Linked DNA regions of Macaca fascicularis. The protein of the gene in region 3 interacts with the protein of the main gene of each other region in a pairwise test. Links are inferred from orthologs where the notes say so. Each region holds a gene or a part of one and is shown on either strand. Other genes may lie near its edges.

Region 1 (4,021 bases), on a different chromosome or scaffold from region 3:
TCTACAAAAAATACAAAAATTAGCCGGGCGTGGTGGCGTGTGTTTGTAATCCCAGCTATCCAGGCTCTTCTGCCTCAGGAGAATCATTTGAACCTAGGAGGCAGAGGTCGCAGTGAGCTGAGATTGCACCACTGCACTCCAGCCATTGTGACAGAGCAAGACTCTGTCTCAAATAAATAAATAAATTTCCCCATACTTCTAAGTTTGCTAGCAGCAACTTGGGATGCCAGATCCCATGCCCTATGCTAGGGCATTCCATCCAAGTCTGTGAAATGGTGGGAAGAAACAGAAACTCTGGGTATGTGGCCAGTGAGTGCCAGGGAGAATCTGATGCCATATGTGCCATGTCCAATACAGTCCAAAACTAGTTTTTTCATTTTCTGGAAGAAGAAACAAGGCATAGGGATCCAAGAACTTTCCCAAGGTCACAAGGATATTAAGTGGCAAATTCAGGATTTAAAAATAGTCTGGCTCTGGAAACTGGATTTTATGTAGCAAGCGAAGGAGTCATTAAAGGGTTTTAAGCTGGAGAGCGACAAGAAATCAAGAGCTTTTAAGGCCGGGCGCGGTGGCTCAAGCCTGTAATCCCAGCACTTTGGGAGGCCGAGACGGGCAAATCACAAGGTCAGGAGATCGAGACCATCCTGGCTAACATGGTGAAACCCCGTCTCTACTAAAAATACAAAAAACTAGCCGGGCGAGGTGGCGGGCGCCTGTAGTCCCAGCTACTGGAGAGGCTGAGGCAGGAGAATGGCGTAAACCCGGGTGGCGGAGCTTGCAGTGAGCTGAGATCCGGCCACTGCACTCCAGCCTGGGCGACAGAGCAAGACTCCGTCTCAAAAAAAAAAAAAAAAAAAAAAGAAATCAAGAGCTTTTAAATGAAGCTCCCAATCTCTACTGTACTCCACATTCCCATCTGACTAAACTCCAGCAGAAGCAGGTGGCCCCAGAGAGGTTAACAGCATCCAAGACAAGGTTTGAGGAGTCTCTAACTGGCTGCAGAACTTCGTGTGGGCTTCAACACTGACCCATAATCTTCCTATCTTCATCTAATCCTACACCTGCTGAAGAGAAGATCTAGCCAGAGGCAGGTAAGATCTGTGTAGAAAAGCCAGAATGAGGCTGGGTGTGGTGGCTCATGCCTGTAATCCCAGCGCTTTGGGAGGCCGAGGTGGGCAGATTACGAGGTCAGGAGATTGAGACCATCCTGGCTAACACGGTGAAACCCTGTCTCTCCTAAAAATACAAAAAATTACCCAGGCATGGTGGCACGTGCCTGTAGTCCCAGCTACTCGGGAGGCTGAGATAGGAAAATCACTTGAACCTGGGAGGTGGAGGGTACAGTGAACCAGATCGCGCCACTGCACTCCAGCCTGGGAGACAGAGTGAGACTCCATCTCAAAAAAAAAGAAAAAAAAAAGGAAAAAGCCAGAATGAGGAGAGGAGACTGACCTAAGGACCAGCAGCAGGAGGACCGTCCTGCTCTCTACTGTTGGTCTGTGGGTCTGAGGGTCCTGGCCGATGAGTTTTCTGGTGTTGCTTGAGATGGTCAGACCTCATGAACTCCCGGCTGCACTGATCACACTTATATGGTCGATATCTGGTGTGTACCCGTGTATGTCGTCTCAGCTCATCAGAACGGAAGAAAGACCACGAACAACTTTCCCAGTTGCAAGAATAGGGCCTCTCACCTGGGAATGACAAGGGAGAGATGGAATTTAGAATAGAGTAGGAAGGAAGGGGTCCGACTCTGAGGCAGAGCAGTCCAGGTTGAGGATTCAAAAGGGAAGGTCCAGGGAACCAGGGAGCGGCAACATAATCAGGAGTGCCCACCCCAGTCCTCCTGTATGGCAAGTCGGGGAGCCAGTCTAGCTTAGTTCCAAGCTTGGAAGAGGAAAGGCTCATCCCAAACAATTACCCACCAGTGTCCCAGGACAAATCAAAAGCCCAGAGACTCCTCCATCCCCACCCCACCTGACACCTCCTTCACCTGTGTGCTTGCGCTGGTGGCTCACCAGGTGGGAGCGTTTGGTATAAGCTTTTCCGCAGTTCTCGTAGTTGCAGCGGTAAGGCCTTGCCTCCGAGGAGCCCCCTCTACCAGTCCTTTCCTGAGGCCTGGAGTTCTTCTCTGCTGTCTGTGGAGCAGGTCTGGGCTGCTCTGGTAGAAATGGGTCTTCTTGAGAGTCCGGCTGAGTTACAAGAGAGTCCTGAGACCCTAAAGCCAGCAATGACTGGGGCTCAGCTGGAGGCATCCCAAGGTCATGGGCATCTTGTGGGGGCAACATCTGAGCCATGGATGGGAGCACTGCCTGGGCCTCAGTGGAAGGCATGGTCGGGCCTAACAATGTTTCTTCAGAAGGCACTGTCGAGAGGCCAGGGTAAGGCATTGGAGGGTTCCTAGCGTGGGACATCATTGGGATTCCAGTGGAAGCCGAGACTGGCAGCCCACTGGGGGGCATCCTTAGATTCCCGCTGAAGGGCCTGGCCACCCTTGGAATATTGGGCTCTCCTATGGGCATTAGTTGGGGCCCACTGAAAATCATCATCTCTTGCTGAGGGGGAGACACTCTCTGACAGTAAATCATCTGGGAAGGAGTGAGAGTCGCTTGGGGGCAGTAACTCACACCACGCTCAGGCAGTGGCATACTGAACTGTGGCCCTCCTTCATCCATATTCTGCCTCGGCGCCTCAACAGACACCAAGGGGGACCTCAGCATCTCTGTACTGTGAGGAAAGTGCTGAATGCTTGGTAGGCCTTGGTTCCAAGAGGTGTGCACTCCAGAGCTTCCAGAAGATGAAGACATGTTCAAGATGGGCGCTGAGTTCTCGTTATCCTTGGGGAGAAAGAGTCAGGTGATTTTTGCTCAAATTCCAGTTCCACATGTCCCTCCTCTTCATTCCCAGACCCCATCCTAATCCAGCCCTCTGTTTCCATCTCTTGCTTGAAAAATATCCTGCCTCCAGACCATTTTCCAGCTTGGGCTTTCTCACATGCGGTCTGGCTGATACAAGCCCCATAGAAGCCTAGCCGTAACTCATGCCACTTTCTCTCGGACATGTTTTTGGTTTTTATTTCACACAAAGCAACAAAGAGAACAAATAAAACAGTCCATAACCTACACCTTCAGCAAAACTCTGAGAAAATGTTCAGACTCCAATTTATTTTTTTCTTTTTTTTTGAGACAGTTTCATTCTTGTTGCCCAGACTGGAGTGCAATGGCGCAATCTCGGCTCACCGCAACCTCTGTCTTCTGGGTTCAAGTGATTCTCCTGTCTCAGCCTCCTGAGTAGCTGGGATTACAGGCATGCACCACCATGCCCGGCTAATTTTGTATTTTTAGTAGAGACGGGGTTTCTCCATGTTGGTTAGGCTGATCTCGAACTCCCGATCTCAGGTGATCTGCCTGCCTCGGCCTCCCAAAGTGCTGGGATTACAGGCGTGAGCCATCGCGCCCAGCCCAAACTCCAAATTATACATAAGTGTGAAAGTGAAAGAACATCCTAAACCAGCAGAACGGGTGCAGAAAGCCACAAAGATAGAAGGAATTGAGGCTGCAGATGGGTCTTGGCTTTAGCAAAACTTAGACATCATCTGCAAATATTTGCCTATGGAAGAGCATCTGCCCTGAGTGGGAACTGCCTGGGCAGGTCGGAGATCAAGCATTGGTGGAGATATGGGGAAAAGGCAGATATGACAAAAACACTTCTTAAAAAAAGGGATGGGGGTTGTCTGGAAGTCAGGGGCAGTATCCCTCGATGACTGACTTGCATGAAGGGTAGGAAAGAGATTGGTGGTAGAAGGTCTTAAAATAGGATAGGAGCCAAGAACCATGTTTTTAAAACCTGTCAGTAGGCCAGGCACGGCAGCTCACAACTGTGTAATCCTAGCACTTTGGGAGGCCAAGGCAGGTGGATTGCTTGAGCTCAGAAATTTCAAAAACAAAAACAAAATCAGCTAGGTATGGTGGCGTGTGCCTGTAATCCCAGCTACTTGGGAGGCTGAGGCAGGAGAATCACTTGA
Region 2 (3,549 bases), on a different chromosome or scaffold from region 3:
AGCTGGGACTACAGGCGCCCGGGGTTTCACGGTGTTAGCCAGGATGGTCTCAATCTCCTGACCTTGTGATCCGCCCATCTCGGCCTCTCAAAGTGCTGGGATTACAGGCGTGAGCCACCGCACCCGGTCTCAAAAACACATTTTAAAACATGATTAAAATGTTAGAGAAGGCAATTCCTTTCCAAATACTTCTACTGAAAAAGTTTATACTATACTGTCTTACCAGTAATTATTCTCAAATGGTAAAGAGGAAAAATATAAGTTCCAAACGATAAAAACTGTTGTTTTATTCCTAGTGCCTAGACCAATATCTGGAATAAAATATTTGGGCCCTTAGAGCAACATTGTATTCTATTTTGAAAACTCTGATTTTTTTTTTTTTTTTTTTTTTTTTAAGACAGAGTCTCGCTCTGTTACCCAGGCTGGAGTGCAGTGGCACGATCTCAGCTCACTGCAACCTCCATCTCCCAGGCTGAAGCAATTCTCCTGTCTCAGCCTCCTGAGTAGCTGGGATTACAGGTGCCCATCACCACGCCGGCTATGAAAGTTCTGAATTTTTAAAGTGGGGTGCAAGTAGTAATATTTTCAGTACAGAAATCGACTTAGTCTATATACTTTTTGGTGTTGTCTTTACCTGGATTTTCCAGGGGAGAACTTTCCACTCACACTCAATGTGAACTACAAAGCAACATTTCAGGTGAGTTTATCCAATTTAAATAACCATAAGCAAAATAAACACATTACGATCTTAACTTTAATGTTAAATATTTTTCCCCAACTATTCCCCTTTTATCAACAGAAGACACTGAAAAAAGCACTTTATGAAGTAATGACAAATACGTAGTATTAGGCTCGTATGATACTGAAATCTCAAAATCTCTTTCTAGACCAAACTTAGTTTTCACTAACAATGCTTACCATTTTTCTTACAGACATTTTACCAAATGAGAGGATTTAACCACTATGGTGTTCATGCAAAAGATTACTGTGAAGTGCAATGAGAAAGAACATGATTTAAGAGTTTAAGTGATTACTCTGTTACTCAAATAGAAAAAATACTTACTTGACATAAATATATTTTGTGTAAGCTCCATTCTTCTCCTAGAGCACAAATCTTAATGTCACTGTTTTCACCATTCAAAAATAATGTTTGATAAATATATTTAGATGTACTCTTTAATTTTTTCCTGTTAAAAGAAATGAAAAAGTCACATATTTATATAAATTGAATGTTTTACTGATTTTGCATATATTTCTAAATACTCCTTTTATTCAATTTCTATTAAATAGAGTCAACTTACCTATTGTGTAAAAGGATAGGGGGAGAGTATATATTCAAATTTTCTTGTGTCTAGAAGAGTACATAAGAAATTAACAATAGTGGTTATCTCTGGGGTCCTCTATGCATGAGAGAGATAGTGGAGAAATGGGGGCGGCATGGGAGGCAGACTTTTCACTACACACATTTTAGCAATTTTGGACTAATTTAATTACCTATTCAATAGATTAAGAAGTTAGCATGTTGATTTTTTTGCTTATTTCCTTATTTAAAAACCAGCACTATGAAGGAACTCAAATAGTGCAATAATCTGCAACTAGGAAATGGAGAACAAGAGTAAACATTTCACTTACCCAAGTAATTTTAAAATGATTTACATTTAATCTTACTTTGGTACCAACCTATTCTTAAACTACTTAAAATGTTTTCTTCCCGCTGGACAAATGGTTTGCAACCTTAGATCAAAGATTTTATTTTCTTATTAGTTTTTTAAATTTATTTATTTATTTATTTCAGATGAAAGGTTTTTAAAAACTGCTCAAAGGAGAAGTCTTAGGGGCCACCAAGGAGAGCTGAGGAGTGAACTGTGAGTATCCCATCTAACTTGAACCAGAGCAGCATCACCTATTATATCTGTAAACATACGGGATTTCTGCACAGATTTAATTTAAAGGAAGAACTTGACTAAAAAAATAAAGTTTGAAAATTATTGCTCAAAATGGTCCAGTAACCAAGAAAAGGCTCTAGGCAGAGGCTGATCAATATCTCAAATTCCTGACCAATTCTGACAGCTTTCCTAGCACATAAAACTTTCAATCTCTCTCTTTTTTTTTTTTTTTTTTTTTTTTTTTTTTGAGACGGAGTCTTGCTCTGTCGCCCAGGCTGGAGTGCAGTGGCCAGATCTCAGCTCACCGCAAGCTCCGCCTCCCGGGTTCACGCCATTCTCCTGCCTCAGCCTCCCGAGTAGCTGGGACTACAGGCGCCTGCCACCTCGCCCGGCTAGTTTTTTTTTTTTTTGTATTTTTTAGTAGAGATGGGGTTTCACTGTGTTAGCCAGGATGGACTCGATCTCCTGATCTCGTGATCCGCCCGTCTCAGCCTCCCAAAGTACTGGGATTACAGGCTTGAGCCACCGCGCCCGGCCCTCAATCTCTTTTTTAAAATGAAGTAATTGTTTCAGATGACATCCTGAACCGGTGAGTTTAACACCTGTGTACTTAACACCTCTTCCTAGCCAACAATAAAAACAGCACATGCCTTAGTGGTAACAGACTTGGGTTTGAGTCCTAGCTGCCCCCCTGTTCAGTTATCACAGCTGTAAAAAGAGGACATTAATAGTACCCACTTCATTGATTATGATAAGAAATCAAGAGACAATGTAGTTTCCAGTTCCTGATAGCAGAATGTACACATGTTGGCTTCCCATCCCTCCCCAAATTACATTAAAGATTAAGAGTACAAAAAGGAATAAGTCCACACCAGGAAAAGGTAAAGGGTAGACTCATCACTTGATGAGAGATTTACACAGATCTGAAGGTTAGAAAATAAATTCAAATGAAAAAGAACAGTGAAAGCCATAGCCAAAAAATACATTATGGAGGGCTAGGATGGAGGCTAAGCTTATCTGCCCGTTAGAACCCTTGGGAGAAAAGTAGGATGAGGTCTCAGGGAAACAAAGGCAGAAGAAAGAAGAGGGGCAGAAAATGGGGAAATTAGTGCCTTCTCCACTCTATGAACACAGATTATAGATAAGGAGAGTACAGATACTGAGGCAAAAATATTCCAAGGCTTTTCTAGAAACAGCACAAAGCTAATGGAAGATCTAAGGCTGTAGTGTAGCTGCTGGTGCCCAGACAAAGCAATCCTCATTCTGAAATTTAAAGAATCTGTGGCCTGTTCACTCCCAATCCATTCACCCTGAGTCATGGTTCCCAAACTCTGTGTGAAATTCACCAGTTCAGGATACCATCTGAACTTAGAGCACCACAGCCAACTCAGAGAGGCATGTGGAATATTTTAAATTTGAAGGAAACACAGTAACACCTTTCAGATACCATGCAATCTGCTATCATTAGGTTGTTTGGCCCTAATTATGAGCTATTTCTTTTGGACTAGGAGTGAAAATTACTAAAACATGAAATGTGCTGTGATCCATGAAAGCTTGGGAAACTCTGCTCTACAAAGCATGCCCCACCTATAACCAAGTTAGTAGTCTTCTTACTCAAAGAAGAGGTACATTGGAAATAGATCTATTTACTCAAAATACCATA
Region 3 (4,020 bases):
CAAAAAATTAGCTTGGCATGGTTGTGCACACCTGTGGTCCCAGGTACCTGGGATGCTGAGGCAGGAGAATCGCTTGAGCCCAGGAGGCAGAGATTGCAGTGAGCCAAGATCATGCCACTGCACTCTAACCTGGGCAAGAGTGAGACTCTATCTCAAAAAAATAAAACATCATAAAATAATAATAATAACATCAATGCGCACCCCAGAACTTCATCTAGCTTGTTCATGTTCCCAGTGCAGTGATGCAATCACGGCTCACTACAGCCTCAAACTCCTGGGCTCAAGCAATCCTCCCACCTCAGCCTCCCGAGTAGCTGGGACCACAGGCATGAACCAACACGTCCAGCTAATTTTTGTATTTTTAGTAGAGACAGGGCCTTGCCATGCTGCTTAAGCTGATCTTGAACTCCTGGCGTCAAGCGAACCTCATGCTTTGCCTCCAAAAGTGCTGGGATTGCAGGTATGAGCCACCTCACCCAACCAAAACCGAATTTTTTTTTTGAGATGGAGTCTCGCTCTGTCGCCCAGGCTGGAGTGCAATGGTGTGATCTCGGCTCACTGCAACCTCTGCCTCCTGCGTTTTCAAGCAATTCTCCTGCCTCAGCCTCTGGAGTAGCTGGGATTACAGGCATGCACCACAAGAGCAGGTTAATTTTTATAGTTTTAGCAGAGACGGGGTTTTGCCATGTTGGCCAGGCTGGTCTTGAACTCCTGACCTCAGGTGATCCACCTGCTTCGGCCTCCCAAAGTGCTGGGATTACAGGTATGAGCCAATTCACCCAGCCAAAATCTTTTTTTTTTTTTTAAATCTCAGATCCTGAGAATGACCATATGAGGTAGGTATAATGTAATTTTCATCTCATGAATGAGGTTCAGAGAAGTCAGGTGACTTGCCCAGGGCCACACAGCTAGTGGGCAGAGAGCTGGAATTTGAGCTGGCGTGTGCCCATAGCCCTTCCGTATACCCTCCCTGTCTTTTGAGTGTGCCCCGTAACCCCAGCCTCACCTGGTGGTGGCAGATGTGGCCTCCCCACTGAGGGCTTCTCTGTGATGTCCCACAGCCCTCATCCTCACCCATGGACACATTCAGGCTGTTGTCCAGAGAGCCTGGCTGTAATTTGAGTCTCACCAAGCAGGGGGTGACGGTGTGGGTGGGCGGGTGACAGCCAGGGCAGGGAGATTTGCCCAGACACTGGTACACAACAGCCTGGCAACCCGTGTGGCCCCGAGGAAGCTGGGAGCCTTCAGCGTGCATCCCCGAGTCTGGGCTGTGGTTCACACCATGGGCAACAAGCAGACAGTCTTCACACACGAGCAGCTGGAAGCGTATCAGGTAGAGGGGTCAGGAGGGGTCCTCAGTGGGTTTGACAGCTTTGGTTCCGTGGTCTGGGAAGTGGGAACAGAATCCCTTCATCCGGGTGTACCGTCTGCCTGGGTTCCTGGTTCGTTCGGCTCTGTGTGTGGCAGCATTGGGCCATCTGTGTGAGTGTGGGGTGGAGGGAGGAGGCCGTGGGAGGAGGCCCCAGAGGCAGGGTTTGGGTTAAGACAACACCTCTCTCCACAGGACTGCACGTTTTTCACAAGGAAGGAGATCATGAGGTCAGTCCAGGGAGGTGGAGAGAAAAGATCTGGAAAAACAACTTTCTATTCATTGCTGGAGGATATTTGCAATTTGGGGTGTGTGTGTGTGTGTGTGTATGGTCCTTCTTCCCTTCTTCCCTTCCTCCCTTCTTCCCTTCCTCCCTTCCTCCTTTCCCCCCTCCTCCCTTCCTCCCTTTCTCCCTTTCTCTCTTTCTCCCTTTCTTTCCTCTTTCGTTCCCCTCCCTCCCTCCCTCCCTCCCTCCCTTCCTTCTTTTCTTTTTTGAGATAGGTCTCTATTGCCTAGGCTGGAGTGCAGTGGTGCAATCGCGGCTCATTGCAGCCTCGATCTCCGAAGATCAGGTGATCCTGCCACCTCAGCCTCTCGAGTAGCTGGGACCACTGGTGCGAGCCGCCATGTGCACCTCATTTTTGTATTTTTTCGTAGAGATGGGAGTCTCACTACGTTGCCCAGGCTGTTCTTAAACCCCTGGGCTCAAGCAATCCACCTGCCTCAGCCTTCCAAAGTGCTGGAATTACAGGTGTGAGCCACCATGCCCAACTGGTATTTCCAATTTGATGGGACTCAAATGGGGAAGGGGGGCAGGTGTGGTCAGTGCATGGAGGCAGAGATGGAAAAGCTGAGAAGTCACATCTTGTCATATTGTCCCAGTCTGTAGGCTGATGAGCTTGGGCTTTCTCCCAAGGGTGGCAGGGAGCCATGGAGCATGCATGAGCAGGGCAGAGAGCATCAGCTTGTTAGAAAGAGTCTCCTGAGGCTGGGCACGGTGGCTCACGCCTGTAATCCCAGTACTTTGGGAGGACAAGGCAGGTGGATCACCTGAGGTCAGGAGTTTAAGATCAGCCTGGCCAACACGGTGAAACCCCGTCTCTACTAATAATACAAAAATCAGCTGGGCGTGGTGGTGGGCGCCTGTAATCCCCGCTACTCGGGAGGCTGAGGCAGGAGAATTGCTTGAACCTGGGAGGCGGAGGTTGCAGTGAGCCGAGATCACGCCACTGCACTCCAGCCTGGGTGACAGAACGAGACTGCGTCTCAAAAAAACAAAATGAAAGATAAAGATTCTCCTGAGACTGGGACTTGAGGCTGGGAGCCCAGGTGCAAAGTCCAGAGCCCACTACGGGTTGCGGGCTTGGCATTAAGGTGAGGGTATGGGGAGGTGGCCCAAGGCTGCTGCATGTCCCTGGTGTGACCGAGCACGATGGGCACAGATGAGAATCCCATATCATCACTCAGCCTGTGGGGCCATTGTCCAGGGGCCCCGGCCCATGAACTTGGAGCTGTGAAACCCAAGCTGGCCAGGGTTCGGCTGCAGTGTGATCGGGGCCGAGGCCCCAATTGTGTAGTAACAGGACATCCATTATTGATGGCCACACCTTTTACTCGTGAGCCCCATTGTCTGGGTGAGGACAGCTTGCAGGGTCACCTTGGCCATCATGATCAAATTACCGATGGGGAAACTGAGGCTCAGACAGGGTAGGGCTGACCCCAGGCTGAAGGGTAGATGCACAGAGCCCCAAGGCGGTTGAAGGCTGACATTTCGTCTGTCCCAAACTTCTTGCTTATCAGATAGAATAACCAAGGCACAGAGCGGGAGAGGAACTTGCTCAGAGCCATACAGAAACCTAAACCCAGGATATTCCCTGAGGGGACCCCGACAGGGAACTGAGTGGTCAGGAGGGAAGTTCTAGGTCTCCCCACCCTACCTTCATTGAGTTCCTAGTCATCATATGACCCAGGGACTCGTGTCTCTCTCAGAGAGAGTCCCTAGCAGCTTGGGAACCTCAGACCCACCAAGGATGGTCTCTGCAAGGCTGCTGCTCAGCATGCCCTAATGAAGGTATGGTGTCACCAGGTGAGGGCATCTGAGTGGAGAACTGGCCTTACAATCTAGATAGTGTGTGTGATATTCAGTTATTTGCAAAATGCCTTTTGTCTGCCCTTTAGAAAAACATGAATATTAGCTGTGTGCCTCTGCTCTGACCCGTTTGAGGAAACCGTCCCCCCCCTTTTTTTTTTTTTTTTTTTTTTTGAGATGGAGTCTCATTCTTGTTGCCCAAGCTGGAGTGCAGTGGCATGATCTCGGCTCACTGCAACCTCCTCCTCCCGGGTTCAAGTGATTCTCCTGCCTCAGCCTCCCAAGTAACTGGGATTACAGGTGCCTGCCGCCATGCCCAGCTACTTTTTTGTATTTTTAGTAGAGATGGGGCTTCACCATGTTGGCCAGGCTGGTCTCGAATTCCTGACCTCTGATGATCCGCCCACTTCAGCCTCCCAAAGTGCTGGGATTATAGGTGTGAACCACGGCACCCAGCCCCTTCCTCCCATTATGAGGAGAGGAACGGAATGTATGAAAGTGAAGGTATCTTTGGAGGCAGGGTCTTGCTGATAACATGACGATATCCAGAGATGTGTGGATT
Region 4 (3,549 bases), on a different chromosome or scaffold from region 3:
CCCTTGCACCAATGGTGACAGGCCCTCTTCCAGCTGCACCCACAGGTCCAGCTCCTCTACAGGAGACACTGAGCACCTCCGCTCCAACACTACTGCTGTGGGCAGAACCCTCTGGTGGCCTCGCAGGTACCTTCCAGGCCTGCTCCAGGCAGATGGATGGCCCAGACATCCCTCCTTCCAGCAGCACATGGGCCTTGCCCAGCACAGAAGGTGGAGGGCGCTCAGAGTCCTATGGCCAGGAGGACGCCAGGGTGACCTTGCATAGCCGTGACCACCTTTCTATGGGCCTCCTGCCTTGGATACTGCATGCCCTGGGTCCCCAACCCTTGGGACCCAAGCGCTTAGACAGCCCAGGTTTGACGCCCTTTCTGAAGTGCTCCAGGCCCCGGTGCACCAGCACTGTCTCAAATCTCACAGGTGTTTGATCATAGCCAAGTCGTCTCTCACATAACAGCAGAGCTCACTCTGCCTCCCACCACCCTCAGCTGCCTTGCAAACCAGCTGTGACTCCTGCACCCTGTCTCATTCACAGGTCATCCCATGCCCCCATGGCAAGGGGAGGCTTGGCCAAGGACCAAGGTGCAAACAGCAGCTTGTAGCCCCGCTGGCTTGGACCATGAGTCCATCAACCTCCGAGGTGAGGACATCGGGGCAGCGGGAACATACCTTGCGGTAGCCCTCGATCACCTCCTTCTGTTTCTCAAAACGCTTGAAGAGGTCGGAGAAGGACTTCTCCATGGAATTCAGGTCTGTAGTAAGTTGGTCTTTTTCTTTTAGAACTTTCTGGATTTCAGCTTTGGCAAGTTCCTTCTGTTTCTGAACTTCCTCTTGAGAAAAGAAAAACAAACGTTCAGGATGAGGAGGCAACCGAGACGCTAGGTGCCAGAGACGGCCCAAGGAGTGAGGCGAGGCGCTTGAGTGCCAGGAGGAGAGGTGGGTAGTGGGTGTGAGCCTCAGCAGGGCAATGAGCCCCTCCACCCGGGGTCTTCCTAGGCCGGAAGCAAGGCCCAGAAAACAGCTGTTTCCTCCACATCAGATCCATAGGGAACTGGAGCCTGGGCCAGGGCCCAGCAACAGAGGTCCCCAAAGAGAGGCGGCGCCCAACATCCTTGAGTCTAGGGTGAGGCCTGGGAGCCGGTACAGCGAACTCCAGGCTGTGGGTCGTGCTGTCGTGGTGGTCCTGGAGGGACTGCAAGGGCCAGGCAGTCACCTGCCCCCAGCTGACACTCAGCCTAAGACAGATCCCCACAGTAGCACCTCCAGGAGCCCAAGCTTTTGGGAGGCCGGGTGGGGCCCGGTGTTCCTGTCCTGCCAGACACCTACAGAAGCTGATGCTAGACACATCCGCACGGTGAGGGCAGGGTGGAGTGGAGCAGGCCATGGCGGGACAGGTTCTGCTCCCACCACAGCCCCACTGCTAGCTCAGCATCTGCACAACTTTGGGGCCTGACAAGTGCTGGTTCTGTGGGAGCCACCAGCCTCACTACCACCAATCTCCCCACAACTTGCCTCAGTGGTTCCACAGCTGGGCCCATGTTGAGGGGATTTGTGTGTTAGGAAGAGGGGCCTCAGGAGGGTGGGGCCCTAGGCAGGGTACGGGGCAGGGCCAGGGTGGGGCATAGGCAGCTCCTCCTGGAGGTGGGTGCCCTCAGCGGCCTGGGAACTCACCCATGGCCTGGTACACGACCTCTTCGAACCTGTCCATGATTTTCCTGTGGGAGGAGAGCACACAGCCATGGCCTCGGGTGGCCAGCGGTTCCAGGCCAGGTGGAGATGCGCACGGGAACAGGGATGGGGAGGACAGGGGGCGTAGCCTCCTTACCCCAGCTCTAGGTTCTTCCCGTGGAGCTCCTCACACCTGCTCCTCAGCTCCCGGTTCTCCTCCTGTGTAGCCTTTACCTGCTCGGGCCACACCCAGGTCAGCAGGCAGGTGGGCCAGACTGACCCTCCCAAGACCTCCCCACAGGATGGGGCCAGCCGACACCCGAGGTCCCCGGAGCTATGTCCCAGAGCCACAGTTCCATGTAGGGCTTCTAGTGGGACCCTGGGAAACCCGCTGAGGCCAAGGCTGCCTGCTCCACATGCACTCGACTGCCGGGGGCAGGAGGCCTGGGGCTTCGGGCTGTGATCCTGGGTGGAACCAGCAGGCACCCAACAGGTGTGTGTCCTGCACCCACCCCCGCAGCCCAGTGGCGGACACCAGAGGTCCTAATTGTTAAATATAGTGAACCCCAAGTTTCTCTTCAAAGAATCAGTATGTTAGTATGTTCAGATCTTTTTTTTTTTTTGAGACAGAGTCTCGCTCTGTCGCCCAGGTTGGAGTGCAGTGGCGCGATCTCTGCTCACTACAGCAGAAGGGGCTACCTACATCAGGAATAAGAACCCCTTCCCCTCCCTTGTTCAAGTGTGCTCTTGCCACTGTTCCATCTGCGAGGGGCACGCTTTCTGCAGAAAATAAAAACTGCCTTACTGAGAAAATTAAAGTTATATTCGAGTGCTATTTCTTTGTGGCACCAGGGAACAAGCATTTTGCATTTCTAATATAAGTTACATGCAGGGGCCACCTGCCCCCGGAGTCCAGGCCTGCAGAGGAGGGGGCCAGCCACGCTGTGGTCCCCAGCCCTGCTATTGGGTTCCTCGCATGGGCTCTGACACAGGGAGGGCGTTGTTGGGGAACTGAGTCAGGGCCGCATCACATCGCAGTTGGGGCCACTGCGAGCAACACTGGTATGGATGTTGGGGCTTGAACCCAGCCCTGCCAGCCGGCCTCCGGAGCCACCCTGGGACCCACCTCCCTGGGGACTGTCTGGTGGCAGTAGCTCACAGCGGTGCCTGCAGACACCCAGCCCCTTTGCGTGCCTACAGCTCTCTTATGGACAATTTAGGCCTGGAGTTAGAACAGGCTGAAGCCTGGCATGTGCAGTGAGGATGGAGGGAGACAAGGCAGGGGACCTCAGGTGTGGGGCGGGTGAAGATGGAGCTTCCTAACCTGCCAGGAGATGCGTCTGGACTTGTGGGAGGGCAGCAGGAAAGGGACAACACTTGGGTTTACATCAGCGAGTACCACACACTGCTGCAAGGCCACCAGAGGTGAGCATTGCACCCAGGCCACAGAGTCCTGGGGAAGCTGCTGGTGGGCAGCTGACTGCGGGGACACTGGGTGGAAGCCTGGACCCTCAGCAACCTGGGCAGCAGTGACAGGCCAGGGGCCGGCAGCTCTCTGCAATCCCACCCTGACCAGCAGGGGCAGGGATGGCAGGGATGGCTGGTCAGGCTGTTTGGACCCCACCCGTGCCCACTGTTGGCCAAGCCCCAGAGTGGCCTGCAGGTTCTGTGGAATAGCCACTCTCTTCGTCCTTACCGCTGCATCCAGGTCCTTCTGGCTGTACTGGAGCAGGTCCACTATAGGCCCGGTGGACAGGGGTGGGCCCCCAGGTGCGGGGACACCTGGAGGTGGGCCTGGCACCTGCAGGAGATGGGGATGAACCAGGAACCCATTTCGCCCTTGCCTCTTGCCTGTGACCTGGCGTTGGGGGGGTGGGGAAGGAA
Region 5 (3,549 bases), on a different chromosome or scaffold from region 3:
CAGCAGAACTCTAAGTTCCACTCACATTGAATGAGAATTCCAGAAAGGGCCTGCTTGAACTTCTCCTTTGCTTCTTCCATATCTTTCTCATGGGCAGCTTTCTCGTTCACCAGGCGGCGGACATGGCTGTTGGCTGACTGGATCATGGAGTAGAAGTTGTTGGCGCTACGACGGTTGACCTCTCCTCGCTCTATCCAAGTGAGCAAGGTCTGTACAGCTTCTGAGAATTTGGAATCATCTGAAAAAAATATATTTTTATAACCAACAAAGGTAACCACATTTTGATCTATTTTCCCAACATGCTGGCAAAGAGGGCATCATGGTTTTTGGCAGTGGTGGGTAAATGAATTGATGAGGATGAGGAGCCACACATACACACATGTGCACACACAGGCAGTAGGCAGGCAGACAAACAGGAAGAATGGAAGGATCAATGCAGTCAGATTGGTTGTGGTCTATGATGAATTTTCAGAAAGAGAAATGTTTCCTTGAAAAAAGTTTTCTGCACTGATATATAGCTTTCATGTATTGCAAATCTCTTACCCTCTCTGTGTGTGTGTGTGTGTGTGTGTGAGAGAGAGAGAGAGAGAGAGAAAGAGAGAGAGAGAGAGAGAAGGGGGGCAGGGGGCAGAGGGGAGAGAGAGAAAAAAAAACATGAATTAGTGAGGGAACTTCAGAATTCTATAGTCCTGTGTTTTAATGAGGAAAAGCAAAGTTGAATCCTGAGTTTAACTCGAATTTGACAGTAACTTTACCTTGGATCCATGGAATTACAGTGTTGGGAGGAGCCTCAGGGAAGAGTTAAGTGGGTCATTCTTTAGACACAAACATGTACATCTTCAACCTTTTATAGTATCACTCCTGTGTTCAATCCACAGCCCCAGGCCTTCCACTCAGTCCCAGTCACAATTTATTTTGATGCAATTTATTTTATTTCTATATTTCTCCATATCCTCTTTTCTCTTGCCTGAAGAACCCTCCATGTAGATTTCTGCAGCTAGTTAGGAGTTATTCTGTGATTAGTTAAGATAGTTAAGAGCACAGCTCTTCCAAAGCTTCTGGTTCAGCTCCCCAAGATAGCCACTTACGCATTCTGTTCGTAAAGGCTCCAGAGAGGGAGAGCCCATTTGGATCTATTCAAGGGCTTCACATCCTTCTCTGGCTAGAAACCCTTATGTCAAATGGAAATTTCTTTCACTGCAATTTGAACTTCCTGCCTCTTGCCCCTTTTTCAGTGCAGACATATAACAAGCAATCAGCCTCCCCTTATAGCAGCTTTTCACTTTATTACTTAGATATAGACTTTATGTTGATGCTCAGTTTTTGCTTCTCTTGAGGGTCACACACCCATTAAATTCATTTTTTTTAAACTTAAACTGATTTGTTTGGTGTTGTGCAAATAGGCAAGTCTTGGACCTGGCAATCTTACCAATGCTTTCAGCCTTTCCAGTTTTTCAAAATGTACCATTATTTCTGTGCCTCTATTCTGGACTCTAGATTTTCTGCTTTTCCCTTAAAGAAAGTCAAAACCAATTTCTTACATGTGTGAATCCCTTAGGCTATGAGGTACAAACATGTCTGGTGAAGGAAACCTATTTGGAAAGTAGGATTAGCAGTATCTTGCTGAGCTGAGAGCACAAGAAGAAGGGAAAATTCATACCATTAGAGCTGGATTGGTGTTACCAATAAGATCAATGGGACACCAGCATTCATCCAATAAAATCATCTATACTCAGAAAATGAGAAAGACTGGATTTGAGCTACTAAGACAGGAGACCAGGCAGAGCAATTAATGTTAAATTAACAAAATGGCTGAGAGTCAAACAAGGGGAACAAGAATCAAAACTAATGGGAAAGCAGTCTGATTAAGCAATGTCTACATGTCTCCAGAGTCACTGTTTTAAATAAATTGGTCTTTTAAAGTGATTTAAAAGTCTTTACTTTTTAGTTGGTGGTGGCTAAGTCTTTGAGTAATCTAAGAAGAATGTACAGCATGACTACTTTCTGGACCTTAATTTTCTCGTCTTTAAAATGAGAATTTTACCAGAGTTTTTCAGGAACACATCAAATCCTATCATCCAGATTCACTCATTTGACTTGGAATTAAAACCTAACTTGTATCCACTATAAAAGAGGGCTCTTACAGGTTCCAAGTCACATAGATCATGCCTAAAATTCTCTGAAGTGGAAAAGTGAGGAAAACTTGTTTATTTCTAGCCGCCTGATGTCTGAAGAGAAAAATGCCATCCCTTGAGACAATGAAGGAGCAGAGACACAGGTAGTAGGGATACATTTCCTGGTTCTTGAGTTACTAGGTACACCCCTCTATCTGCAAGGCTTCAACACAAGAAATGCTTAGAATCCAGTAGTAGGAAACTCAAAGGGCAACTGTCAACAACACAATTATATTTATTACACTTCTCTAAAGGAAAGAGTTCTTTTAATCATGAAGCTTGAGTGCCTTTGATACCTTTTAATTTTTCAGCAACAATGCTGCATTCGTGATCTGAATAGTGGACCACTGGGGGTGGAGATGGTGGACGCAATCTTTCTTCTTCCATTCTTCTACGATGGCGCTCCTCTCTGGCTAGCATACGCTGTTTACACTCCCACTCATACAGGTCATCTCGAGCCTGTGCGAAATCAACATGGAGTCTGCCTGTGTCCTTCTTGTCAGTACTAGAGCCCAGGCGAATGCGGTAACCTAAGTTCACAGGAGGGTGAAAGGGAGAGGAGAGAGGGAGAGCGGGGGGTGGCGGGGTGGGGGGAGGGAGAGAGAGAGAGAGAGACATGAAAGACTATAAATACTTTTCCAAGTTCAGTGTTTCAGATGTCACTGCAGCAGTTCCAAGTGACCACACAACTCCAAATTCTCTCCGATGCTTAGCAAGTAAATCATCAAAAGACTTAAATTATCTCTGATAACAGGTCACATTCTATGGGTTGGGTTAGTCTTGTTCTTAAGAGTTCCATTCCTCCATCTAATACCTTACCTCTGGCTGAGGTTGACTCCGTGGGTAATAATATCAAGCATGATCCTTATATGGTACTAAGGGCTGGGAAGAATGGAAAAGGTGGCCTCAAATGAACTTGTCTTTAAATAAATTCAAGAGTGTCCATTATACTATCACAAAAATTTTGGTAAAACTGAAATGCATTAACTTGGCATTTTAATCCCTAAAATTGTTTCCTAGAAGCATTTGTCAACTGTGAACCATTTTTTTTTTTTTCTGACAAAAAAAAAAAAAAAAATGATGGGGAGTGGTGTGTGACCCACGTGACATATAATTTGGGATCCTTAAAAAAGAGATGTAGTGTGATTATAATATAGTAGTATAGGACTGGGATTCAGAAAACCAGTATTCAACTCCCTACCTCCTCTTTTTGTGCCAGCTATACTTACCCAAGTCATGTCTCTTAACAAAAAGTGGGGAAAAAACTAAGTACTTTTTAAGTTTCAAGAGCTCAGCTAGATACTTCCATAGGAATTTATCTCATTTCATTCTCAGCACAAGCTTGCAGGGTAAACATTATACCAAACAGAAAACT
Region 6 (4,125 bases), about 31 Mb from region 3:
CAGCTATTACTGCTAACAAGGAAACGTGTTGCTAACCAGGCACGGTGGCATGTGCCTGTAGTCCCACCTGCTTGGGGGTCTGAGGCAGGAGGATGGCTTGAACCCTGGAGGTCTAGGCTGTAGTGAGTTGAGATGGCACCCCTACACTCCAACCTGGGTGACAGAGCGAGACCCTGTCTCAAAAACAAAATAAAATAAAATAAAAAGTAAAGAAAAAAAAAAAAAGGCAGCTGGGCGCGGCATCTCAGGCCTCTAATCCCAGTACTCTGAGAGGGCGGATTACCTTAGGTGAGGAATTTGAGATCTGCCTGGCCAACGAGGTGAAAACCCACCTCTACTAAAAATACAAAAATTAGCCGGGTATGGTGGCACACCCCTGTATTCCCAGCTACTCAGGAGGCTGAGGCAGGATGATTGCTTGAACCTGGGAGGCGGAGGTTACAGTGAACTGAGATCGTGCCACTGCACTCCAGCCTGGGCGACGGAGTGAGAATCTGTCTTAAATAAATAAATAAATAAATAAATAAAATGAAAAAAACACAAAACACATTGCACCCCACTCTGAGGATTTTGCATGAATTGTTTTATTTAATCCTTAAAACAATCCTCTAAACTAGGGGCTATTTTCTCTCATGTTAAAGGAGAAAAAGACCCGAAGGGATTAAAACACTTGCCCCAGGTCACACAGCTGCTTAGGGAATGGAGCCCGGGATGTGATTCCGCACTCCCACCTCACTGCCGCCCTTAACCACAATTAAGTCCAACTGTCCAGCATTGCTTGAGTGTGGTATTGTGTTCTTATAGATACGATCCTATTTAAACTTTCTTGTCAAGAGGTATGCAAGACGATCCCCATTTAACTTTGTGTAGCTTGAAGAGGTTGATCATTTTTCCAAGGTCACGCATCGAGTGAGTGGGGAATCAGGAGTCGGAATTTGAACCCGGGCATATCTGTAGTGTAGACCACTGTCGGGGGTGGATGTGTAAGAAGCTTAATTGCCGGGTTTGGCAGGTGCATGGGTAGTTGTCAGGGGCTCGTACTTTGAGAGGCAAAAGCTCCCACTCGCCACCGTCCCCCAGAGTAAAAAGCCACCTCTTTCCACCCCTCACTCGCGCAGCTGCCCGGGCATGCGCCCAGAAGCCCCTCCTTCAGAATCCGCCCTTTACAGGCTCCGCCCATCACCGTAGAGGGCCAATCCCTGGGGCGGAGGGCGGGGCAGCCACGAGAGTGGGCGGTCGCTAAGGGTAGTTAGGAGTCTGGAGTCGTGAGCCGAAGTCAGAACTGCGTCTCGCGACCCAGGCGCCGGTTGCTGGAGGAGAGCGAGCAAGCGATGCTGCCGCTGCCGTTTCCTGATTGGTTGTGGGTGGCTACCTCTTCGTTCTGATTGGCCGCTAGTGAGCAGGGTATGTAAATGAAGGGGCCTGGGAAGAAAAGGGGTACCAACGGCCGGGTCCTTCACGGAGTTCGATCCCTGGGTCCGACAGGTGCCCGCCGGGGCTGCCCGGGATCGAGACGCGCGGGCCTCTACGTGCTGTCTGCCCCGGCCGGGCCGGGTGAATCACGCCGCAGTCCGAGAAGGGGGCGGAGGCGCCGGCTCCTTGGCTCCGGCTGCGTGACTCACCCGCCCCCGCCGCCGCCGCTTCGGGAGGAGCCGCCTCCACTGCCGGAAGCGAGCGGAGGCCGGGCGCAGAGAACAGCCCGCCTAGGGTCCTGGCTCGCACGGCGCCGGGAGGCCTGCAGGAATCACAGCCGGGAAGGGGGGCAGTAGAAGGGGTTCTGGGGTCAGAGGGGCCAGAATCCCCAGGGGAAAGCCGGCCTGGGCACCGCCAGGGGGCGCCGGGACTCGGGGGCGGAGTCGGGGGTGGGGGCGGAATTCCTGCGGTTCCGGACTCCACGGACTGCGGGGAAGGGGACGAAGACCCAGTTTTGAGTAGTGTGGTGGGCCACTCTTAAAATCTTGCTAGGCAGGGTCCCGGAACTGGACTCTGTTCAGTCTTCCTGGCCCAAAAAAGTAGGTAGCGCCAGGGGTCCAAAACTCCATCCAGCCCTACCCCCGCCACTCCAAGAAAAGAGTGGACCCTCAAACTTATCTCAGTGACTGACCCCGGTGCCGATCACGATTTCTCGACAAGCCCTGTCTATTCTGCCTCCCAAAGAAATCCTGACTCGACCGACTTCCTTCCATACCCACTACCAGCTCCTGCTCCAGGCCATCACTATCGTCAGTCCCAAACCAGTACAGCCTACTAGTGGGTCTCAGATCCCCCCTCTTTTTGCCCCCTACAGTATTCCTCGAAGCAGCCATGGGGGGGATCTTCCGGAAACCTAATCAGCTCACACCCCCATTCCCTCCGTGCTCAAATTCCTTTAATGACTGCCCACCACACTCAGGATAAAATCCAAACTCCCTACTAATGCATATGTGGTTTTCTGTGACCTGGCTTGTGCCCATTCCCCCAGCCTCTGGGCTTTTCTTTGCCTTTTTTTGTTGTTCCCTCCTCCCGGAATGCTTTTCCCAGGGTCTCCCATGGCCGACTTCTCTGGCCTGAGGGCTCCATTCAAATGTCACCTCCTTACAGGAGCCTTCTCTGATCATCTAAAAGGTCTGCAGGACCTTTTAGTGTCTTCCTGTAATTCTCCGTACATTTCCTGTGTTTGCTTATTTATTTACTGTTTGAAACGTCATAGTAGACAATAAGTGTTAAACTATGTGAAACTAGTTTAGTATTTATAATATAACTTACTTAGATATAATTATTTATAACGTTATTATAATATATGAAACAGCTGCTTTTGTAGGGGAAAAAGTTGAATGGTCATTCCACATGGTTCACTGAAGAAATAATAATGTTATCATTAAGTGTACTTATTGGCAGGGCATGGCAGCTCACACTTATAATCCCAGTACTTTGGGAGGCTGAGGCGGGAGGATGGCTTAAGGCAAAGAGTTTGAGACCACCCTGGGTAACATAGTAAGACCTTGTCTCTACAAAAAATAAAAGGGGGGAAAAAAAAGAGTGTTTATTGATTGAGGGGGGAGGATCACTTCAGGCCAGGGGGTTTGAGACCAGCCTGGGCAATATAGTGAGACCCCATCTCTTTTTTCAGATTAAAAAGTCTATAAATATACTTAAATACAAAATTTAAAATTTAAGGCCGGGCGCGGTGGCTCATGCCTGTAATCCCAGCACTTTGTGAGGCCGAGATGGGTGGATCATGAGGTCAGGAGATCGAGACCATCCTGGCTAACATGGTGAAACCCCATCTTTACTAAAAATACAAAAATTAGCCGGGCGTGGTGGCGGGCGCCTATAGTCCCAGCTATGTGGGAGGCTGAGGCAGGAGAATGGCGTGAACCCGGGAGGCAGAGCTTGCAGTGAGTGGAGATCGCACCACTGCACTCCAGCCTGGGCAACAGAGAGAGAGACTGTCTCAAAAAAAAAAAAAAAAATTTTTTTTTAAAGTCTATAGGCTGGGTGTGGTGGCTCACACCTGTAATCCCAGCACTTTGGGAGCCAGAGGTGGGCGGATTACTTAAGGTCCAGGAGGTCGAGACCAGGCTGGCCAACATGGTGAAACCCCACCCCTACTAAAAATATAAAAATTAGCCAGATATAGTGGCGTGCGCCTGCAATCCTAGCTTTTGGGGAGGCTGAGGCACGAGAAACACTTGAACCCGTGAGGCAGAGGTTGCAATGAGCTGAGATCACGGCATTGCACTCCAGCCTGAGCAACAGAACGAGACTCTATCTCAAAATAATAATAATAATAATCTATAAATATACATATGCAATTAAATAAAAATTGTCTATATCTTTAAAGTTCCCTAGGAAAAGCTAGACACAGAGAGGTTAAGTGACTTGCCCAAGATCCTACCTGTAGCAACTGTCAGATCCAGGCTTTGAACTGAATATTTGTTTTCTATAACTGACTATAACTCCATAACTCCCTGCCCTCTGCAGATGCTGAGCAAGGGTCTGAAGCGGAAACGGGAGGAGGAGGAGGAGAAGGAACCTCTGGCAGTCGACGCCTGGTGGCTGGATCCTGGCCACGCATCAGTGGCACAGGCACCCCCAGCTGTGGCCTCTAGCTCCCTCTTTGACCTCTCGGTGCTCAAGCTCCAC
Region 7 (4,349 bases), on a different chromosome or scaffold from region 3:
CAAACACTTATATTGGCTTGTTTTTCCAGTACCCTCATTATCAGCTTCAACATGTAGAAATGAACTTAATTTTGTTAAATGGTTATTTCCCACTAAGTTAGGAGGAGAGATAAACACGTTTTGTTAAATTATTCCACTTTAAAAAAATTATTAAAATAAATTAAGGGAATCAGTTACTGAATTCCACTTTCTTGGTTTCCCCCAAACAAAATAACATGTGCTTGTATGAAAATTCAGTTTGCCCTAAGAAACTTAAGAGCAATGGCTCAGTTCAGGAAGCATAAAGGACAATCTGTCATGTAGGTTACTCATTGCAAAAAATAAAATGAACAGTAAGAGCTTACGGGAATTGCAAGAGTACTCTCATCAACCTGAACTGGGATCTGCTTCCAAAGTGACACTGATATCAAATGTTCGGTTTATGAAATTGTCACTGCATTCTAAAATTGACTGTTTTTCTAATACAAATTGAAACCTTCTTGCTATGATTAACCATTCAACTCACTATCTAAAGAGACTTTCACTTATAGTTAGGAAAGTACATTAAATATCAGTGACACTACTGGTAATTTTCTTATAAAAACTAATTTGTGACAGAACATTAAAAGTTCACCCCCTGACCTTGGAAAATAAAAGTTAGCTTTTGAGACCATGACAGAAGAATCCATCCCATAGGATTGCTGAATAACAATTGATATTGCTGTGAAGGGTGAAGGAATATTAAATATGCGGTCAATCATTTTCATTTAGGTGGCATCTTACCTAAAGCTTTATACACGATAAACATTTGTCCAATACTTCAAACCAACATATGGGATTACCTTCTAGGACTATTATTAACCCAATTCCGCAGAGGAAGAAAAATATGCAAATGTTATATTAAACAAATGATATCTTCCAAAAATATGCAATCCAGGTTGCACTATAGCCACGAAAGAAAACTCACAAGTCTCTTAATTTTAAAGTATCTTTTAACAATTTTATGATAATACAGGTAGGTAAGAGCTTTGAAAAGTGGTCTGGAAAACTTTGAGTTTCTCTGGATTGCTACAGAAAAGTTACTCGGCAAGTGTGTCTTCAAGTACCAGAGGTCAGAAAGGTTTCCCTTTTCCGTGGCTGCTCAAATTATCCCCCACTAAAATCAGCGCCTCCTGCGCGCACCCTTACATACCACCTTCAGGCACGTAGCTAACTAACACTACCCGAGCTACTGTTGCTTCGCTGTATTTGTCTCTACTAATACCCACTTGGTAGAGGGATTTGTTTTCCACTTTTGAAACGTTGATTCTGTAATTAGCTTACACCACATGAACATGTACTATTAAGGTTCGTCTTTCTTCCAATGTGAGCATCTATTTATTTACAATTCTCTGACACATTCCTTAAAATCTGAATTCCTAGATAATGTCTTTTTCCCCAATAAAGGGAAAATTTTACCATTTGAAATAGGGTGCTATTTAAAGAACGCTGAAATAAGAATGTTAGAAAAAAAAAAAAAAAAACTAAAACTTTTTTTTTTCTCATGCGCTCTGCCAAGTTCCACTGCAAGTTCCAAATATTGTGCAATGATTTGGAAATCCAGTTAACGATGGGAAAAATCGAGCCACTCACAGTCGGGAACTTGCAAGAGAAAAGTCAAGAAGCGGCACCCGCACGCACGCCTGCCCAACCGACGCTGCATCTCTGGGCGCACGCCCCTCCCTCCCCAGCGCTGGGATGGAAGGTCACGCTTCGCAATCGATTTCACAGCCACTTGTCCTTTTTTATCAACCTTCTGGTAAACTAGTTTAGGACCTTGGAGAGCTTAGAGCTGCTGGCTGTATATGCATTGCTCTCGGATAAACACGTGTCCCCCAAATATCAGGACCAAAGCTTCACCGCCGAATTTGGCCGCGGGAAGCCACAAAGGGCAACACATTCCCATATTCCCCGCTGCCACCCTGTAGTGCGAGAATCTCCCCTGGCATCTCTCCGCCCCCTTTCCAGGCCGGCGCGCACTCTCGAGGGTGCCTGGTGCGCCCTTACCTGAGCTGTCGCTTTTCCTCTTGCCACCGCTTCGCTTCTCCGCCTCCGCAGGTGACAGTGCCTGGCGGCCGTAGTCCCCCGGCGCGCACGCGGCCCCAGTCGGGGTGCTGGAGCCCAAGCTGGAAGAGTTGGAACACAGGACCGGAGGGCTGCTCCCCAACTCTGGGGGCCCTCCGGAGTCGGGCTGGAGGCAGAGGCTGTGTCGAGCCGCACTCGGTGGGGAAGACATCTGCGGGAGGTGCCAGTTGGTTTGCAGAGCCTGGTGCTGCTGCTGCTGATGATGGTGATGGTGGTGGTGGTGGTGGTGGTGGTGCCCCCTGTGATGCTGGCTGGCAAACATGCCTTCTTCGTTGGGGTATCCCGCGATTATGCAAGATGAGGAAGAAGTAGAGAGCTCGGGGTAAGACATATGGTCAGATCTTCCATGGAGGGCGAGAGAAGATTGGGAGAACGGGTGCAAGCCTTGCGCCGTGGCGTGAGGGCTGCGCAGGCAGCCAAAGAGCGGGTGTTCCATAGCATGCAAGTTTCAGGTTCCAGGCAGAAGACTTCAGGACGGTTCCAAAGGTCACCACCCTCTGTCACTTTTCACTGGAAACCGTATGATTTTTTTTTACCCTCCCAAAGCAATAGCCGTGCACTTCTGCAGAGCTCGGATAATCCCGGTTCTGAGCCCCAGCGACCAGTCTCCTTTGCATATGAACAGTCGGACCTGGAAGAGCTTCCCTGAACTACTCAGATGTCAAGAGTGGGAGAGGTTGAAGCCAAAAGAAGGTGGTCCCAGAGAACTGCTTTCAGGGGGAAATGGCTCTGAGAGGTTATAAATAGAGTGTAACGTGAGCTGGGGGCCGGCTTAGGAGCCCAGAGTTGACCACATGCAAACTCCCTCCAAAACTCCCGCTCAGTTTGCGCCACGCGCTCCCCAGTTCCACTTCCTATCGCCTGCTGGACAGACGCAGAGCGTCCACGCCCGCCCAGCACTGCCGGCTGCCAGGGCTACAAGCGGCACGCCAGTGCCTAAGTCCCGCCCGGGAGGGCAGCAGCTCTGCCCTCCAGACTCTGGAGGCCTGGGCGCGGCGCACACCACCCCCAACCCAGCACCCTGATTCCTACCTACTCACTTTCCTCTCCGGGAATCGTGATTTGTCAGTGTCATTTGTGAACTGTCACCTGCAGAAAAGCTAGGGATATGCCTAGCCTTTCAGGAACCCAAAAGAAGTAATAGGGTTAAACGAAAAGATCAGAGCTAGTTAGGCGCATCCTCGAAGTTTTTCAAACTTCGCATCTTCCAGTGCCCTGGGCGCCGCAGCGCGCCTAGGTTTTCACAGCTGGTTTCTGTGGGTGGATTGTTAATGGGCTGGGACGCCAGATCTGAGGTTGTGGGGATGAGTACCATGGCCTGGAAAAGGCAGTTCTCAGTGCGGAACCAAGAGGGACCCGGTAGGGTGGGTGGGAGGAAGGCGTGAGTCTGAAAGGGTTGCAGATGCCTGTTCCCTGGCATCCTCTTGTGCGATGCCAGGTGGAGTCTCCCTTCCCCCTCTTTCCTGGTCCCGCTCAATTTCCTAGCCACTTGTCCACCAAGAAGAAATTTTCCTGGGTCAAAAATATTTCCAGGCGATTTTGTCCCGGTCACATGAGATGTGTAGATTGCACGCACATATCTAGCCTTTCCCCTCAGGAGCTAGCCTAGGTCTCCGCAGTTTCCTACAGAAATCCACTCTCTTCCCCTCAAAAATAAATCCGCTAATCGCATCCCTTATCACCACCGTCCCATTTACTGAGAAATCTTACATTTCGATAGCTCCCAAAATTCACTAAGCTTGGGCACTTGGCTATAACTTTGCATCCGTGAAAATAAATTAGAAAATTTGCCTCCAGTAAGCATGCAAGAACGATGGCAGGGCTTTGAGACTGCCACTTGTTTGGCGGGTGACAGGGTCCGCTGGGGGCAGAGTCGTTTACACACAAGTGAGTGGCTCTGTAATGAGCAGGAGAAACAGTCAAGTCCCATCTGGGACCTGTCGCATCAGGAGAATATCTGTAGTCACCTATTCCGCCCGGGGCCCCAAATGCACCACCAGCAGTGTCGCCCCGTTATTTTCATTGTCTCAGGTGTCCAGAGGATGATGAGCAGGTCTTTGAAGTTGTTAGTGGGATTAATGGGTACAGCAAACTGGGCTAGACATCTGGTTTGAATTAGGAAAAAGTATTGATTAATCTTTGAGAGGTGTCCCCAAAGCAGAACCTTCCCCCTCCTCTTCCAGTCCCCCTGCTTAAGCCTCACTATCTTCTTTTCTTGTAAGTCATGCTGTAGAATAGTGGCTTCT

Evidence for each region.
Region 1: the proteins of CIB3 (region 3) and KLF17 interact in binary tests that used the Homo sapiens proteins (3 or more experiments, as listed by UniProt). The two-hybrid records come from large-scale screens. The link is inferred for Macaca fascicularis from reciprocal best matches to the Homo sapiens genes CIB3 and KLF17.
Region 2: the proteins of CIB3 (region 3) and GMCL1 interact in binary tests that used the Homo sapiens proteins (3 or more experiments, as listed by UniProt). The two-hybrid records come from large-scale screens. The link is inferred for Macaca fascicularis from reciprocal best matches to the Homo sapiens genes CIB3 and GMCL1.
Region 4: the proteins of CIB3 (region 3) and TACC3 interact in binary tests that used the Homo sapiens proteins (3 or more experiments, as listed by UniProt). The two-hybrid records come from large-scale screens. The link is inferred for Macaca fascicularis from reciprocal best matches to the Homo sapiens genes CIB3 and TACC3.
Region 5: the proteins of CIB3 (region 3) and ENOX2 interact in binary tests that used the Homo sapiens proteins (3 or more experiments, as listed by UniProt). The two-hybrid records come from large-scale screens. The link is inferred for Macaca fascicularis from reciprocal best matches to the Homo sapiens genes CIB3 and ENOX2.
Region 6: the proteins of CIB3 (region 3) and SERTAD1 interact in binary tests that used the Homo sapiens proteins (3 or more experiments, as listed by UniProt). The two-hybrid records come from large-scale screens. The link is inferred for Macaca fascicularis from reciprocal best matches to the Homo sapiens genes CIB3 and SERTAD1.
Region 7: the proteins of CIB3 (region 3) and MEOX2 interact in binary tests that used the Homo sapiens proteins (3 or more experiments, as listed by UniProt). The two-hybrid records come from large-scale screens. The link is inferred for Macaca fascicularis from reciprocal best matches to the Homo sapiens genes CIB3 and MEOX2.

The regions. Positions count from the first base shown.
Region 1 is NC_088375.1:190,618,809-190,622,829, forward strand, and holds the start of KLF17 (Krueppel-like factor 17), read right to left. Parts: upstream 2,837-4,021; 5' UTR 2,805-2,836; coding exon 1,991-2,804; intron 1,692-1,990; coding exon 1,453-1,691; intron 1-1,452. UniProt on the Homo sapiens protein: Transcription repressor that binds to the promoter of target genes and prevents their expression. Acts as a negative regulator of epithelial-mesenchymal transition and metastasis in breast cancer.
Region 2 is NC_088387.1:52,106,654-52,110,202, forward strand, and holds part of GMCL1 (germ cell-less protein-like 1), read right to left. Parts: intron 1,188-3,549; coding exon 1,064-1,187; intron 679-1,063; coding exon of another isoform or gene 635-678; intron 1-634. UniProt on the Homo sapiens protein: Possible function in spermatogenesis. Enhances the degradation of MDM2 and increases the amount of p53 probably by modulating the nucleocytoplasmic transport.
Region 3 is NC_088393.1:16,490,352-16,494,371, reverse strand, and holds the start of CIB3 (calcium and integrin-binding family member 3), read left to right. Parts: upstream 1-1,197; 5' UTR 1,198-1,282; coding exon 1,283-1,333; intron 1,334-1,564; coding exon 1,565-1,599; intron 1,600-4,020. UniProt on the Homo sapiens protein: Acts a an auxiliary subunit of the sensory mechanoelectrical transduction (MET) channel in hair cells. Plays a role in regulating hair cell MET channel localization and function.
Region 4 is NC_088379.1:1,881,861-1,885,409, reverse strand, and holds part of TACC3 (transforming acidic coiled-coil-containing protein 3), read right to left. Parts: intron 3,467-3,549; coding exon 3,290-3,466; intron 2,479-3,289; exon of another isoform or gene 2,296-2,478; intron 1,900-2,295; coding exon 1,823-1,899; intron 1,713-1,822; coding exon 1,669-1,712; intron 934-1,668; exon of another isoform or gene 828-933; coding exon 667-827; intron 1-666. UniProt on the Homo sapiens protein: Plays a role in the microtubule-dependent coupling of the nucleus and the centrosome. Involved in the processes that regulate centrosome-mediated interkinetic nuclear migration (INM) of neural progenitors.
Region 5 is NC_088395.1:136,951,090-136,954,638, forward strand, and holds part of ENOX2 (ecto-NOX disulfide-thiol exchanger 2), read right to left. Parts: intron 2,705-3,549; coding exon 2,471-2,704; intron 239-2,470; coding exon 26-238; intron 1-25. UniProt on the Homo sapiens protein: May be involved in cell growth. Probably acts as a terminal oxidase of plasma electron transport from cytosolic NAD(P)H via hydroquinones to acceptors at the cell surface.
Region 6 is NC_088393.1:47,526,805-47,530,929, reverse strand, and holds the start of SERTAD1 (SERTA domain-containing protein 1), read left to right. Parts: upstream 1-1,286; 5' UTR 1,287-1,404; intron 1,405-3,963; coding exon 3,964-4,125. UniProt on the Homo sapiens protein: Acts at E2F-responsive promoters as coregulator to integrate signals provided by PHD- and/or bromodomain-containing transcription factors. Stimulates E2F1/TFDP1 transcriptional activity.
Region 7 is NC_088377.1:114,505,942-114,510,290, reverse strand, and holds the start of MEOX2 (homeobox protein MOX-2), read right to left. Parts: upstream 2,819-4,349; 5' UTR 2,540-2,818; coding exon 2,026-2,539; exon of another isoform or gene 1,979-2,025; intron 1-1,978. UniProt on the Homo sapiens protein: Mesodermal transcription factor that plays a key role in somitogenesis and somitogenesis and limb muscle differentiation. Required during limb development for normal appendicular muscle formation and for the normal regulation of myogenic genes.